3 linked regions of the Arabidopsis thaliana genome follow. The protein of the gene in region 3 interacts with the protein of the main gene of each other region in a biochemical or structural test. Each region holds a gene or a part of one and is shown on either strand. Other genes may lie near its edges.

What was found. Proteins that work in one complex are often made in the same cells at the same time.
Region 1: of the proteins of WNK8 (region 3) and RACK1C_AT, one has a biochemical effect on the other in vitro, tested with the Arabidopsis thaliana proteins (one study listed by BioGRID).
Region 2: the proteins of WNK8 (region 3) and EMF1 form a complex in vitro, tested with the Arabidopsis thaliana proteins (one study listed by BioGRID).

Annotation. Positions count from the first base shown.
Region 1 is NC_003074.8:6,210,369-6,214,170, forward strand, and holds RACK1C_AT (receptor for activated C kinase 1C), read right to left. Parts: upstream 2,184-3,802; 5' UTR 2,004-2,183; coding exon 1,125-2,003; intron 843-1,124; coding exon 741-842; 3' UTR 510-740; downstream 1-509. Other genes in the region: AT3G18120 (F-box associated ubiquitination effector family protein), read right to left, coding at 1-204; LST8-1 (Transducin/WD40 repeat-like superfamily protein), read right to left, coding at 2,375-2,481, 2,562-2,621, 2,701-2,780, 2,861-2,943, 3,043-3,159, 3,230-3,307, 3,482-3,551, 3,706-3,802. UniProt on the Arabidopsis thaliana protein: Minor component of the RACK1 regulatory proteins that play a role in multiple signal transduction pathways. Involved in multiple hormone responses and developmental processes.
Region 2 is NC_003076.8:3,694,020-3,701,800, reverse strand, and holds EMF1 (embryonic flower 1 (EMF1)), read right to left. Parts: upstream 6,010-7,781; 5' UTR 5,636-6,009; exon of another isoform or gene 5,389-5,635; intron 4,743-5,388; 5' UTR 4,662-4,742; coding exon 4,567-4,661; intron 4,455-4,566; coding exon 4,279-4,454; intron 4,199-4,278; coding exon 4,079-4,198; intron 4,000-4,078; coding exon 3,946-3,999; intron 3,857-3,945; coding exon 2,595-3,856; intron 2,455-2,594; coding exon 871-2,454; 3' UTR 837-870; exon of another isoform or gene 602-836; 3' UTR 252-601; downstream 1-251. UniProt on the Arabidopsis thaliana protein: Transcription repressor that regulates phase transition during shoot, flower and seeds development. Controls leaves development, shoot architecture and flowering by delaying both the vegetative to reproductive transition and flower initiation.
Region 3 is NC_003076.8:16,794,417-16,799,776, forward strand, and holds WNK8 (with no lysine (K) kinase 8), read right to left. Parts: upstream 3,591-5,360; 5' UTR 3,147-3,590; coding exon 3,057-3,146; intron 2,692-3,056; coding exon 2,654-2,691; intron 2,570-2,653; coding exon 2,342-2,569; intron 2,242-2,341; coding exon 2,021-2,241; intron 1,946-2,020; coding exon 1,788-1,945; intron 1,713-1,787; coding exon 1,331-1,712; intron 1,244-1,330; coding exon 669-1,243; 3' UTR 551-668; downstream 1-550. Other genes in the region: AT5G41980 (nuclease), read left to right, coding at 1-473; AT5G42000 (ORMDL family protein), read left to right, coding at 5,039-5,215, 5,297-5,360. UniProt on the Arabidopsis thaliana protein: Regulates flowering time by modulating the photoperiod pathway. Phosphorylates the vacuolar ATPase subunit C (VATC) and RGS1. Regulates EDM2 that, in turn, modulates development processes.

The sequences.
Region 1 (3,802 bases), on a different chromosome or scaffold from region 3:
AACACTAGATAGAGTCACAGTATCTTCATTAAAAGAGTGAAACGGTAGACTTAGAGGGGGTCCAAATATCTCTCTTGTAAAATCATAACAGAGTAAGAACTCAGGGAGATGCTTTTGTTGAGTATTTCCCTTGAGAGACACGCCACGTGCAGAAAACTGTATCTCCCAGTTCGCAGAGTTAATGTTAGGGATAGTAATATTCATCCGTGGTTTAGAGGAGTTGAGGACTTGAGGTAGTAGAGTTCATACTGTACGTATCCGTAACAAGGTTCACTAAATCCCTTGGAAGATTGGCCATCATCATCTCAAGGATCATAAATAAGTTAGGTTAATGCTTCAGAAGATACTCTCCTCTGCTTCCGGTGGTTACAAATTTGAAGACAAAGAAACCCACCCTAACTGAATTGGGCCAATCATGGGCTTTAGAAATCTAATAGGCTTGTAATGTGGCCGGTGAAAGAGATAAGAGTGATATATTATAGGGATGAATTGTGAAGATTGAACCTCAATAAGACCAATCGGAAGATCACGAAGGTAAGTGTAATCAAAATCGTGACCTTTTGATATATAGTGATATGATAATCAATGGATTGTTTTTTTCTCTTCTGGAAATTAAACAAAAATTGCCAAAATAGAGGTTTGCGAGAGACTAATACAATACTGACGCAGTCTGGAAAAATTAAAAGCAGCTAAACTTTTTTCCGGAGATTTCGTGACTTCTTCTTCATCTTGTTGTGTCTCTAGTAACGACCAATACCCCAGACCCTGACAACTCCATCAGTGTAACCACTGAACAATGTGCTTCCATCTGCACTCCAGTTCAAGCTTGTGCAGTAGATAACCTGCATTTTCATTACACATTCCCATTAGATACCATTATCAATCTCTTCCTATATGTTAACATCAAAGTCAAAACCTTTGGAGCAGAGCAACATTTAAAGAATAAAATTCCTAGTTTCAAAGCTAATGGGTAAGGGAAAAGATTTCCTACATGCAATTTCTAACCAAAATTTCACTTTTTTTTTGTCATAACCAAAGATAATTTCATCACTACTTTTGGTGCATTCACTAACCTATCAATAGAGAACCAATTACTATAGTGAAATCATAAGATAATGACGTACCTTCTTCTGGTTACCAGTTCCAACACCACCTTCATTCTTCTCTGCCTCAGACTTGAGATCAACCTTCAAGTCCTCAACAACAGACTTGCTCTCAAGATCCCAAATCCTAATGCTATTCTCAGTAGCAGCACACAACCAGTATCTGTTAGGACTGAAGCAAAGCGAGTGAATAATCGAACCCGCCTCAAGCGAGTAAAGCTTCTTTCCTTCAGCCAAATCCCACAACAAGATAACACCATCTTTCCCACCACTGGCGCATAGCGAACCATCAGGCGAGACAGCAACAGTGTTGAGGTAACCAGAGTGACCAACAAGAGAGTTCCTCAGCTTACAGTTCTGGAGATTCCAAACTTTCACAGTTTTATCCCAAGAAGCAGATACAATAGTTGGTACAAGAGTATTAGGACTAAACCTAACACAACTAACCCATTCCTTGTGACCATCACCTTCAGAGATGGTATACTTACACTCACCAAGTGTGTTCCAAAGCTTAATCGTACGATCACGAGAAGCAGACACGATCTGCCGGTTATCAGTAGAGAATGCAACAGAGAGCACATCTTTCGTATGACCAACGAATCGACGAGTTGTTTCTCCCGTGGCAAGATCCCAGAGACGGAGCTCACCGTCCCAGCTTCCGGAGAGTGCAAACTGACCGTCCGATGAGAGAACAACATCTTCCACGAAGTGAGAGTGACCTGTGAGCCTACGCTGAGCAACACCGTAAGACTTATCGTCCTTTGTGAGTTTCCAGAGGATGATGGATTTGTCACGCGACGCTGTGACGATGATGTCGGAATTGTCGATCGGCGTAGCGATGGCCGTGACAATGTCGGTGTGGGCGCGCATAATGCCCTTCAATACGAGTCCCTCGGCCATGGTTTGAGGTTTTCGGGTTTCTTCTTCTTACTCACGAAAATGGCGTAACAGAGCGAGAGATTACGAGGTCGATTGAAATGTTTGGTATTTATACTCTAGGTCTAAAAATGAATCAAATTAGGGTTTAGTGTGGTTTCTGCGAGGAGACTGGCTCATTTGGGCCGGAGTTTCCGAGTCAGGTATAAATGGGCCTCTTCTGAAATAAATTTTGTTGGAGCATTTTTGTTGTGATATAGTTGAGAAATGTTTGATCAGAGAGGGAACATAAGAGCAATTTGAACGAATTCGATTGAAATGTACAAGAGTTTACTAAAACACAAATAACACAATCGTAGTTTGTTCATAATTTAGCTTTGATTCTTATTAAGGTTTTAATCGTGAAGTGCACAGCACACAGTGGCTTTGTGATGACCTTGGTACACTTTCACTTCTTTGCCTGCTGGCATCGACCACAATCTAGCCGTCATGTCCGATGATGCTGTACAACATCATAGAAACCCGTTTAAAGATTGTTCTGATATGTTTTTCAGTGGTTTAAGTTAAGACAGAGATTAGTACCTGTTACAAGAAATTCTCCATCCACTGAGAAGACGCAGTCCCAAACCCATCTTTGATGTCCTGTTATATAAGATTTGATGATAGTGTAAGAGACGATAATGGAGAATGAATGCTGTTGACAGTAACATGGAGAACATACCTGTTAAAACTTTCTCTAGTTTAAAACCATCGACGTTCCATATTTTGACAGTTTTATCAGATGATGCAGTCGCTAGATATCTGCTAACAAATATGTAAGAGCTTCGAAAAGGAGAGGATGAAGAAAACGGTTAAAAGAGAAAGTATAAGAAACATGTTACTTGTTTGCAGGAGAGAGGAGACATTTAAGGATGTGGCCATTATGAGCTTGCAGCTTATGAAGGGGCTCAAACTCTGTCATTGTCTGTAAAAGATTTTGAATTTTTAAATGGCATGGACAATTAGAGTAATGCGACTACAACATGGTTAAACAAAAGAAAGGTTTGCATATCAGGAACACTACCTGTTTTCCACGCAACAAGCGCCATACATAACATGTTCCACGGTTGTTAGCAGCGACTACCATTGTCCCATCCCACATAACAGTTAAAGACCGTACAGCTGTATCAACTTCTGGTACCTATAGTTAACCTCAAGTGATTATCTACGGATTTTCAGAAATGAAATGAAGACGTGTCAAAGGCAATTACCAGTTCACAGCTACACGAATTTGCTCTGAGATCCCATACACGTATATTTCCATTTTGGTCTCCAGATATCAATTCAGTCTGTACAAAAAAAAAAAACAAAGTTCATAATAAAGACTAAGGAAATAGTTCATAATAACAGCTGAGACAACTACCAAAATCACAGCAGTTTCAACAGTAGCAATACAACAACTCTCTTAAACATAAAACGAAGCTGATTCCCACAGCACAACAATAACAGATGACTTCATGTACCTGATTTGGGTGTAAAACAACTGTATTAACCGCTGCAACACTTTCATACTCCTTTTGGCAACCCGGAGCCCTGCATTTTGGTTTACGAGTCAACAAGAATACAATTTAGAACGTTCTTAGTATTTTTCGTAACTTTATATTCAATATCTCCTTATCCTTTCCCAGAATCCACACTTGAATAAATCTATAAACTTTTAGCTAAAGATGAAGATGACATGATATACCTTAAGTCCCAGATCTTAACTGTGCCATCTTCTGATCCTGAATACATCCATTTTGCATCACATTGAAATCCTACTGCCATAACATTGTTGGTGTGTG
Region 2 (7,781 bases), about 13 Mb from region 3:
CCAACTTAATTTCAATGTATTCTTAAGTAAATTAAGAAGTTGAAAAGTAACCTTAAGCGTTTCTGTAGCACTCTAAGCTTTTTAATTGATGTAAAAGTTGTTTTGCAGATTTTTCTTCAGACTAGAGATTTAATTTACGGAATCTTCAGTTAGAGTCTTTTTTGGATTAAAAATGTGTTAAGACTTAAGAGGGTTTCTCTTAGGTTTGGAGAAGTTGGCTGGCCTGACAGAGACATTTAAACACAACAGTATAAATAAAGACTAAATATATATATAACGCCAGCTGAAAGGTATCTAGTATTTCCCAAAAAAACAAACAAAAAACAACAAGGCCTATCAGGGGTACTACAGTCATTTAAATATATACACAAGCTGAATGGTTCCCAAGTATGCTTGAACAAACCATAAGCAAAGATATGTTTTTAAGACCAGAGACCAAGAACATGAGGAAGATTTGCATTTTAATGTTTCCTGTCTGACTTATTCTTGTTTTCAATAGGAATGATCTCTCTTTCTCTTTCTCTGTCTCTGTCTCTCTCCCTCTCTTTGTATCCCTCTCCATCTGTTAATCCCTCTGCCTCAGTATCTGTTTCACAATGAACTAAAGAGAAAATTGTTTTGTTAGAGCTGGAGACAAAGATTTGATGAAGAGACTGATAAAACTCTGTTCTAAACCCTAGGCTTTAACATAAAACCTAACCTTTTGCAGTTCTAACTAATGTAAATGCAAAAAGAAACACTTAGTAAGGTGCAGATTTCTTTAAGTCATTGATTTCAGACGAACCAAGTAAATCCCAAAACTAAAGAATTAGAAACAGATAGTCCTAGCAACTTACCTGCACAAATCCCTCCCACACACATTGTATATCTTTAGGCATTTTGTGTAGGTGGACAAACCGGCTTCTTGGTCTGCTTCATTGCGTCCTGCTTACACACGGCTGGCTTTTTCTTGAAGGTTGTGCGTTTACGGACTTTCAGATGTTCACCCGTTAACATGTAAACATTCCCAGGTTCAGGAATGGTGAAATCAGCAGGGTTTCTATTGACGCTGCACACAATGGGTCCAGAACTGTTCTTCACAGGTCCCGCAGAGGCATTGTTATTGCAGCTCTCTGCTTTTCTCTTTTGTTTCTTTTCTTTATCCGTCATGTGAAATTTCAAAGGAAGCATCATGGAATTCGATGCTCCCAGCAGCTGGAACTTCGCTTGGTCGTTGCTGCTTGCAAACACCGGCTTTTCATGAGTATTGTAAACAGGAGCAAAGGTGTCTTTTCTCTTGGTTTTCTTCTCTTGATGATGAGGACTCCATGAAGCATTTTGAAATGAAAGTGAAGACGTCCCAATAGGTGGAGTGATGGGGAAACTCTTCCGGGAAGGCTCTTGTGTGAATCTCTTGCTGTATAGATCAAAAGGTATCTGCTTAGTTGAGTAGGCTGACTTACTAGAGTCCCCTGTTTGAAGCTCTATAAACTCTTTGGACTGGTTGGCTGGCGGAAAATGTCTTTTAGTAAATTTAGTGTTTCCGTGTTGGTCAGCGGGAGTCGTTGACCTCAGGCGAGGATCCAGAAGGCTGAGTAGATGCAATGCCGGTATAGAGCTCTCACTAGAAAAGTTATCTATTGGCCTACTACTACTACTACTAACCCCAGCAGCATGTTTGCAGCCAAATGAAAATTCTGGATTAGGCCCACATTTTTGCTTCCCGTTGGCAGCAACAAAGTTGAGGTTCCATGTATTTTCATTGTTAGATGCCTGTGAAAGCGTACCCGGATTTGTTGACTGATTAATATTTAAAGAAACTGGCTTGTATTGACTCTGTGGTGGTATCATGGAAGATGGCCAAATTGGATGAGAAGCTTCTCTGTATTGATTAGGAACACTCTGGCAAGTATCACAAGCACGTAATACCCGAAATGAGGATGGAGAAGGGTTCTGATTACCCACAGTTGGCAAATTCCCAAGCCACTGACAGTTGTGACCAGAAAACCGGATGGAGCTGGCTCGGTTTTCTTGGGTAGGAGGAAAGATCCCAAACGGAGAAGGCACATAAGGCTGACTTATTGGGAAGAAGTCATGAGAGTTCTGCTGTCTTCCCATAGGAAAATGTTCTTCCCTCCTTGCGTTGCTACTACACGGTTTTGGTGGTCTTGATGTGTTGTTGTCCTCAAGTGAGATCCCGTTATCGTAGGTTTCATTGAGATCAATCAGTAGAGCATTCTTGGATTTGTGTGCTGTTTCTTGTGATGGCTGTTTGTTGCTAACATCTTCTTCTTTGTCGGGAAGACACCTCTCGTACTGGTTTTTGGCCATGAGCTCCACTATCTCCATTGGAATATCATCGTTGTTTTGCTCTTCAGTCGTAGTCTCCTTTCTATCGTGACTTTGGCTTCTTGGTGCTCCATGATGTTCTTGGACCATAACAGTCTTCCCCTTTCTATCTGCACCAGAAGCATCCTGCCAAGTAAATCAATCCCGTTATCATCCTGATCCAATCACTGAAGCACACCAGTTTGGAATATACAAGAATAGGTGCAAGTTGGAAAACAGAATGAGAAAGCATGGCGATTGAAGAAAAATAGATGCAAAGCTTGTACCTTTTGCAGCACCCGAGATAAATCCGCAACTTCAGTAGAAGAAGGGGGGTATCTTAGCTTCAAGTTCGAGAAAGACGATCTGTTTGTATTGTGGTTGTTGTTTCTGAAGTCAACAATATCTACTCCAGTTCTCAACCATCCACCTGAGCTGGATTTAGAAGAGGAACTAAAATCTCGAAGACAGTTTGGTTCCGCGTCTCTTGACCTCACATAATCATTGTCTTGCAAATGCAAAGATGTTATCGGCTTATCATTAACCTGAGAGAGATATTTTCTGAAATATCCATCTGAAGCCAAACGGTTGTCAAATAAACCGCCCACCCTTTTCCCATTCAATAAGTCTCGAGTTTGGGATACTGTGTTCATGGAAGGACCAGTATGCGAGTTAACTTGACTTCCATCAATGCCGTTACTAAAACTGATCACAGTGCTCTTCCCATTATCGATTACAGGCTTCTTTGTCTTCTTCTTGGGTAAACTGAGCTTCCTCTCTGTTCTCTGAGTACCCGGAGGACAAGGAACAGAATCGTTTCCAGTGAATAAAGAGTGCGCAGGAGTTGATCTCTTACTAGGATCTGCATCATGCTCCTTGATACCTTCTTGTGAAGTTTCACAAGGAAGTGATGGTACAAACTCGTCAACAACCTGAAATCTTCTGTTTCTCTGCTTACCCTTAAATGGAGTTCTGTCAAACCCACTATCAGTTGATTCACTATTACCTTGATCAGAGTCACAACTTTTGGAAGCATTTTCAGAGGTTGCACCCATTGTACTCAATATCCGGCTGACATAATTGTTTTCAGGTAACAACTTTCTTTTTCGACCTCTAACTGATTCCTTCTTCAAAGCAGACTCTTCTTTTCTGATGTTACTACCACCACTGGTTTTTGTATTACCAAGCAACTCACTGAGTAGACGAACCTTGCGAGATTTCCTACGCTGCAACCCACTCATAGCAAGATTTATACTTTCTGATGACCCGTTATCGCATTCCATCAGACCGCGAATGCCTTTATGATTCTTGGTTGCCTTAGGTGGTGTATCCTCAACCACACCAGCAATTTCAGATGAGCCGAACGTTGTCACAGCCTGATCCACATTTTGTTTCTCTTTCCAGCTGCTAATATCCATCGATGGTTTGTTTAGTTTTTCTTTAGATCTGTTGTTTCCTACCTGCTCCGGACTCACAAGCTTTCTGCTCTTGCTCCTAACATTAGAAGCACCCATAGGTCGACCACGTGCTTTCTTGAGAAACGTAGTAGCTGCAGTTGTTGAAGCTTTAAGAAATTAGTATTCCGCATCATGAGATCATCAGAGAAAACATAATTTGCTTGACCAGAGAAAACTTTACCTGTCTGATCATCATTCTCACAGTTTACACCCACTTTCTCCTCAATAGCATTATCTGAAAAACATGATAATACAAAATGATTAAGATTTTGCTATGGATTATGAAACTGAACCAAGACTCAGCAGATGCATACCTGCAATATCAGTTTTCTTTTCTTTCTCGTGATCAATGATAGTTAGCGAATTGAACTTGCTTTTACTTTCGATAACAGAAGAGTTTCCAATAGCTTTTGAGTTTGAATGCAGTCCACAATCTGCAAGCAACTCAAAATGCATAAGTTCAAGTAGACACGTCTTTAGACACATAAAAAACAATATTGGAAATGTGATATACCTTTTGGCCCATGAGCATCTATATCTTTGATGCAGCTCATACAATGCCACCATCTAAACTTTGGAACAGATAAAGTAGGAAGAGTATAGCTTTGTTGGTCTACTAAACTAACACTCTCTTCTGAAAACGGCCAACATTTTCTAAGGTCTCTCTCACGAGTTTCAGCTACGAATCCACTGCAGAGAAGAAAAACTGGTTATTCATGTCATTTCATCTTGTAGCTTGCTACTATATAAACATACTCTAGCAAGAGAGGTTGATGATATAAGGTCAACAAACTATACTCACCGCATGGAAAAATGATCACATTTCACCATATCAATCTCGTTGGCAGCACCTGCGAGATCTATGGATATTGAGTTGATCTTGATGGAAGATCCCATTGATTTGCTTGAAGGAGATAGATACTATGCCTCAGTGATGATTAACTTTCATACACCATTATACTCTCTCCGCAACTAGAGCTACAAAAGCAACACATCAAAACAAGTTATATAACACATCGTATAATTGTGCTTAATGATCACATTATTGTTGTATATCAAGACATAAATCTTAACTTTCCATATATACGACACCAAATATAACTCTAAATTTATTCAAGCAATAAATATAACTAATCTATAACATAGTGTTAAAGCATTTCACATGAATATCCCACATAAAATAACATTCATAACCAACATCAAACTTCACAATTACACGGCAAATAAAAAAAAATTAAACCCTAAGGTCTACATAAAATCAAGAATGAAATTCTATACTAGCATCTCAATTCAATTACGCTAATATAACAAAAAATTAATCGTGCAAGTGAATTTTATACATTTAACAATTAACATGTAAGTAAACCTAAACTTAGACGACCTAAAATTAGGGTTTTTCAGACAGACGAGAAACCCCAAAGCTGTAACCTTATCTACATGACCAGCAAAAGAAAAAAGAAGATCGGACCAGATTCAATATAATTTCGGAATTACAAAACCCAAGAAAGGTCAAATTATTAATCAGCGTAATTTAGGGTTTAAAATCAAAATTAGAACAAAATTAAAAGATAATAAACCACTTAAATTAACCGTATGTGATTAACAAAGATTAACCAAGACCCACCAATTAATACGGGTCAGATCTATCCGCACGTGAATAGTCCGTGAAGACGAAACCCCAAAAAAAAAAAAAAAAAAAAAAAGTAAGAACATCAAGAGTTTCCGAGGAAGATAGACGTATAAATGAACAGTGAAGCTTAAAAGACACGAAGTCAGCTACAAGTCAGACCAAATCTCAACCCAACAAGATCAAACCTTAGCTCAAACCTTAAATCGAAACACATCTGAGATTCATGTCGGAAACAACGCACCTGGGTTAATCCGACCAGAAATTAGGGATTAAAAGGGGTTGCGAGATTCGAGCTCGATCTTAAGCGGCAAGGGATAAAAACTATATCGGTAGATTGAGAAAGCTACGGAGAAGAAGATTAGATGAGCTTGAAGGATGGATTCGTCGGGAGATGAGTAGAATTTGACTGCGAATTTTCGAGAAACCCTAAGACGAAAGGGGAGGGAGAGAGAAAGGGGGACTTTTTTTTTTTTCCTATGGCTTGTAGAGAGAGACTGTTGGAGAAAGGAGAGGAGAGAGAAAGTGGAGCTCTCTTATCCTTGAAATGAGGGTTTTTTTTTTGTTTGGCTTTGCGTCGATATAAGGGTTTTAATTTCAATAAAATAATCTTTTTATTAATTTATTGTAATAATTTTATATTAAAAAAAGAACAACTCATCTATGGAACATGACAATGCCATGTCACCATCTGGTCTGCCTATTTCCAATTACACGAAACAAAGTTACGTATCTTTTTACTTCTATTGTGTACACGTATCTGTATTTGTACATCTCTGTATCTGTTCTTTGTATCTCTGTATCTGTCAAAAGTGAATAAAAGGAGAAAATTTTATGCATATGTTTAGTTAAGAAAGAAATCTGAGCATTAGTAGAAAATAGCTGGCTTAGGGGAACAGTATCCAGAAATTAAACAACAAGATTAAGTAAAAGATCTCAGTGTTTTTCTTTATATTAGGAAAGAACCCGATTTTTATTTAAATCGTATTAGACGTTTTTGTGTGTGATAGGATGGGGCACAAGAAACCAATGAGAATTAACCACGTGGCCGCAATGTGCGGTTCTTATCACAACCCATTTTTCACTTGTGTCCTGATGAAAAGAAAACCCTAGGCGCGTGGATGTCACGGCGTTTACTTTTCGCGTGTGGGCACGTTTCGTCCGTGGCGCGGAGAGGTAAGGAGCGTCGGCACATACGAAGGGGAGACATTGGAGCGTGTTGTTCACGCGAAGGGAAGAGAGAGTGGAGGAATTGAGGGACCAGTGAGATAAATAAAAGCCCTAAAAGCATGATAAAATTGTATGGGTAGGTGATGTTACCCTAGATGAGCCCATTTCCCCAATAAATGAATTATATATACATATATTAACCCTAACACTCTTTTTTCCCTTTCCAAAGTTTACCACAGTAAAAGTGTTAAAAAAAGTCTGGTTCACATAACCCTATTTAGTTTTTTTCTTAAAATATAATACAATAATCCTTAATTATTGTTATTGTACATGTACTATATAGATGTATTTTTTAATATTGGCTTCTGTTTTTTCGGTGGTAGAATCATCACATGGTACACCAACCTAATGGGATACCTATGATGTAAGCAAAGTTTAACAACAAAAAAAAACTTTGTTTTTCTTTAGACCTTTTGCATATTCGATATTTGATAAAGCAATTAATTGGATGTTGACTCTACTTTCGGAATTAACAATAATACGATTAGATAACTAATACAAATCTAGATTCGGGATTTAACTGTTCGACAGCGATTGTGTGTGTGTTTTTTTTCTTTACGTGGCTCTGTACGTACGTGTTGATACATATTAGAAGTAAGTATCGTTAAGTTGTGTTAACTATTATACAAATGTATAAGAATACTAAACCTTAGTGAAAATAAATTACTAGATCAAGTAAATTTTATATATTGCCTCGAAGAAAATAATAGTATACAGTTAGATAAGTGAATGACCTTTAGTGGGCTTTATCCTTTATAACACATTTCTCTCTCCTTGTTCCTGTATTTTTTAATAATATTCTTTCTTCGGTAAATTGTTTTTTTTTTTCTTAGTTTTTGTCGGCTTCGAGGTTTTATGATATAATTCTTTCCAGAGAAATTTAGGTTTGTTACTTTAGTCTATTTTAGGGGAAAAATATAATCTCCTTTTTTCTTCCCACTGCCATATATGTGATTTACTTTTGCCCCATAAGATCATTTTTTCTTGTTTGGCGCAATTAATTACGGGTTTGACAAATTGTGATGTATATACCAAAACGTGTTAATGATCCACTTTGAATTTTGGATGCATTATTTACTTTTATCACGAAAATAGCACACTATATACACCCCTCTAAAATTTCTAGATAATATTCATAATTTAATACCCAACTTTATGGA
Region 3 (5,360 bases):
AATACTACATTGTTGACAATAAGTATCCGAATCTTCCTGGCTTTATCGCGCCGTATCACGGTGTTTCAACCAATTCAAGAGAAGAAGCAAAGGAAATGTTCAATGAGCGACACAAGTTGTTGCATCGAGCTATCCACCGGACTTTTGGGGCTTTGAAAGAACGGTTTCCGATTCTACTATCAGCTCCTCCGTATCCTCTACAAACGCAAGTGAAACTGGTGATTGCGGCTTGTGCATTGCACAACTATGTCCGCTTGGAGAAACCAGATGATTTAGTGTTTAGGATGTTTGAAGAAGAGACTCTGGCGGAAGCAGGAGAAGATAGAGAAGTGGCTTTAGAAGAGGAACAAGTAGAGATAGTGGGGCAGGAACATGGGTTTAGACCAGAAGAAGTTGAAGATAGTTTAAGGTTAAGAGATGAGATTGCATCTGAGCTTTGGAACCATTATGTCCAAAATATGTCAACCTTCTAAACTTTTTAGTTTTTTTTTAACAGGTTTCGTGTGTTTAGTCTGTTAGAAATGATATAAGTCAAATACCACTATTTATGTTTGTTGTATCAAATCAAATCAAATATATATATCCAAAACACCAAATGTATAACACACCGATCTCAGCAAAGTTGAAGACCAAAAGAAGAGTAAAATATCAAAAACAGAGCTTTTGAATCAAGAGATGTTAACTGCTTTTTGCTTTTTCGTAATCCATTTTCGCTTAGCGTTCTCTATTGCATCCTCTTTCAGTTTCAGCAGATCTTGGAAGGACTGGTTAAACTGTGACTCGATCAGGTTTAGTTCTGTCTTGAGATCTTCTGGGTAATCATTGTCTGAAATGGAAAGATTGTAAATGGTTGACATCATTGAGCAAGAATCCAGATACGAGCTCATCGACTCTGCATCTCGACCAGCTTCCATGGCAGCATTTCCGTCGTTTGCTGAGTAGGGAAAGTAATAGTCTGCTGATATGTCTGACTTCATTGATTGTCCTGCAGCTTCTTCATCTTTCGAGTTCACAGTTTGCTGATTTGCTGCTTCATGATCCTCATGGGTTAGACGTGGAGAGTTTTGGTTATGATGCGACGAGGTCCGGTCAGAGAGAAGTTGCATTATGAAGTCATCGATCATATCAGCTATCACAACGACCTCTTGGCTAGTTAAATGCAGTTCCTCAACCATTTCCTCAGCGATTGCTGTTGCTGTGTCTGACTCCAGATAGAATGCAAAGTGTACGATTCTACATTTACCTGTATTAGGGCATTGAATTGATTTTCAGTAAATGAAAACTGTGAGAGGAATGAATTGGATAGAAGATTTAATTTTATAAGACGAACCAGACGGGTCAGCAATACGGAGAACCATAGACGCTGTGACATCATCGCTCCTCTCACCTCTCAACCTGAACTCTTTATTCTCTGCAATCCTCTGAAGTTCAATGGTTTGGGACCATGGGTAGTCTTCGTTGCTTGAAACACTTTTATTCTCGTTATGATCCACATCCATGGGAAGATGTTCAAGCTGTGGTGGTCTCACATATTTAGATGATGTGCTTGATGAAGCAAGCAGAGCAGAGTCCTTGCCTCCATCCCTTGCAAGGAATGGGTCCTTCGAGAGCTCGAGGGCAGTTGGTCTGGAAGAGGCAGGAAGAAGACATTTCTCTATAAATTGCCTAACTTGAGGATCGTCAACTTTGCCAAGAGACTGAGGCTTTATGTTCTGCAAATGCAAAGTTTCAAACGGGAGCCCCATTGCATAGATAATTGATGAAAGTAAAGATTGTGAAAGACTTACCGAGGTGACCTTTTTATAAATTTGAGCCTGGTTTCTGCACTCGTTGTATGGATATTCACAGGTTACCATCTCCAACATACACATGCCAAAAGAATAGATGTCCACAAGCTCATTGTATTCCTCTTCATACAGTTCAGGTGCCATGAATTCAGGAGTACCTGATTACGCTCAAAGTTTTCAGTTACAGTAAAGTTTTCAGGGTCTAGGAAGGAAAATGGTTTATGGTGTATTACCTATCACACTTCGAGCAGTGGGCTGCTGCAGTACAGTTGCGAGCCCGAGATCTCCGATTTTGACCTCTCCAGTATTTCCATTGACAAATATATTGTCACACTTCAGATCCCGGTGAATTACCGGAGGGTTCTGAGAATGCAAATAGTTCAGGCCTTTGAGAATCTGCCTTGCCCAGTTCTTGATGGCCTTGGGATCAACCTTCCTATGCTTCTTACGATATCTTCACATCAAATGAAATGGTGTCAACCCATGTGATGCACAGGAAAAAAAAAAAGAATGAAGGATCATCAATACAAAAGAGAAGTGGGGGAGATACTTACACCCTGAGACTACCAGAGGTGAAAAGCTCAGTGATCATGTTAATAGTCTTGTTCTTTTCGTCAACCCAAGAGTAAAAGAGTTTGATGATGTTTTCATGTTTTAGAGCCTTTAGTAGATGAACTTCAGAATATAGCCTTTCAAGTTGACCAGGCATCTGCATTACATCTTCAATGCTAACTAGGTTCCAAGCAACTTCAATCCCGTCTACTTCGTCAAACGCCTTATATCTATACAAGAGTTAATAAACAAATCAGAATCACTTTCCTTTACAACTAAAAACATAAAAGCATAATAGGGTGTAGAAAACATACACAGTCTTGAAAGCTCCTCTCCCCAGAACATCATCATACTAAACAACAACAACAAAAAAAAAACGAATCGATCAATCACTATATGTTTTCCACCATACAAACTCGAAAAAATCAGCAATACAACATGATCTTAAGCTTGATTGTTCCAAATGTACAATTGTACATAGCTTAAAAGTCGAAAACACGTAACAATGAACAAAACACACATTGCTATAAACCAATAATCATCACCATACGATCAAAGTAACAGCCCTCATTAGGTAGAACTACAAAGAGAACTCATTAAACTAGGTCAAAATTCTCAAATTCTGATCAATTTCCTCATAATTCAACAATAAAAAACACTCAACCAAACGAGATTGAATGCAAATTCACACATGAATCAACGAAGACAGTGACGTACCCTGATGTAACGGCCAGAAGGATCTTTCTCGGCAAAATCAGCCTCTTCCATGGACGATATCTGACCTAAAAATCCAGAACCAGAAGCCATATATGTATGCACAACACAACAAACAAAGCAATCGAGAACAGAAGGAGAAGAAGAAAAAAGTGGAGAATTTAAGGTGAGATTGAAGATGAAAAGAAAGAAAGCTGAAGAGGACGGAGGTTATTACAAAGAAAAAGGTTATAAGAAGAAGAAATGGACGGAGGAGATACAATCGGAGAAAGCCTCACGAGCGAAGCAATAAGAATCGATTGAAGAAGTTCGAAATCGAGATCGGAAACGGAGTTTGGCGGCGAAAGAAATCCCCATCATCTCCGATTTTCCGATTTCCCGATCTCTTCTCCCGTCGTGATTCCGTCTCTTCTCTTTTATCCGATTAAATCCTTCCATTGATGATCCACCATGATTTTGATTTTGGTCCCCGAAAGAATCTGCTAGATCGATAGAGAAAAAACGAAGGATGATGATGATGATGAAATCAATGAAAGGAATTTCGGAGAAAGGGAATTTAGGAAGAACAAAACAAAAAAAGGTTGGCGGCCAAATAAATCGGAAAGTCAAATTATCTGTCTTTATCAACTAACGCACTTTCTCTTATATTTGAGATTATTCTACTAATTATGTATCCTCTGTTTTCATTTTATTTCAGCTGACTTTAGGCCATTTATGCAATTACATGTTTCAGGTTATGAATAATTTCTACTAATAAAACATTATGCTAGGTGCACCAAAAAAAAAACATTATGTAAATCCTCAGAAATACGATGTTATTTCCTTTGTTTCAAAATATAAAATGTTTAAAACAATCACACATATTAAGATCATTCTTTCTAAAAAATATTATTTATAGAATTAAAAATTTTAACTAATCATAAGAAAAAACTGCAGAATATAAATGATCACAAATTATCAAATACATTTAATTTTCATAGAAACTAACAAAATATTTTTTAATATTTAAAAGATAAACTTTTATAACATCTTATATTTTAATTAGAGGGAATAGTAATCTATTTAAAGTTTTTTTTCTGTGCATGGAAATCAAGAAATTGTGGAATCTAAATTCTATAAGTTTAATAAAAAGATATAGCTAGTTCAAATTTAATGAACCTTGGATAGTATAGCATTAATACGAAATCATTTTGTCGTTGAATAATATATTTTGTGTTAAAAGTCCAATTGCTTTTATTGAATAAGTTGGTGAGACAGAGTGTGTGATGAAGAAAAGAAAAAACAAAAAAATTGTAAGTTTGTCTTAAAAAACCAACGAGGCTTAATCGTGTTTATTGTAATCATTAGGTGAATCTAAATCTAATCCTCATCAAGTTGAAAATATGAGAAGAACAAAAAACTGATAATTTTAGATATTTATTCGAAGATGTTTTTTAAAATGGTATTTTATTCGAAATATTTTTCACGGAAGCACTGGATGGAAAATTTGGTAGCAAAAAAAAAAGGATTTCGAAATTTGGCAGCTAAAATTTGTTCAAAAATAAAATGAAATAACTCTTACTAATATGGTCAAGAATTAACTTCAGAACATATTTTGAAAATGTAAATTAAATTATCGGATGAAAAGGTACGGGTCGGGTCGGAAAACCGGTGTGTTTTGTAATGGGCCTCTATGTAAGCTGACAAGAAAAGTCCAATAAATTAAAAATATGAGTCGTCGTGGTTTATCGAGTGACGCGTTGAGAGTCTTGAGACAGAGTTACTGATAATCATTGTTTTAGGCTAAGATCGGTGAGCCACCCAACCACCTTCCTATTTTAATTTAATGCTTCTTTTTAAAAAAATTGTAGAAAATAAAAAGCCCAGAAAGAGCCCAAAGAACGCAGCAGAGAAAAAAAAAACAAAGAAGAAAGAAAACTTGCTCAACGACGATTCATCAATCATCATCTCCGATCTTCTTCCAAATCCCTCCGGTGAAAAAGACGATGTACGTAAGAGCACTTCCGACGACGGATGTGAATCGGAACACAGAGTGGTTCACATATCCTGGTGTTTGGACTACTTATATTCTCATCCTCTTCTTCTCTTGGCTCCTCGTTCTCTCCGTCTTCCATTGTTCTCCTGGCATCGCTTGGACCATTGTTCATCTCGCTCATTTCACCGTATTATTCCCGATCTCCTCCGATCCAATTTCGAAATTGTTGGTTTCTAGATTTGAATTTTTGAGTTTTTTTGTTTTCTAGGTCACGTATCATTCCTTCCATTGGAAGAAGGGAACACCATTTGGAGATGATCAAGGAGTCTATA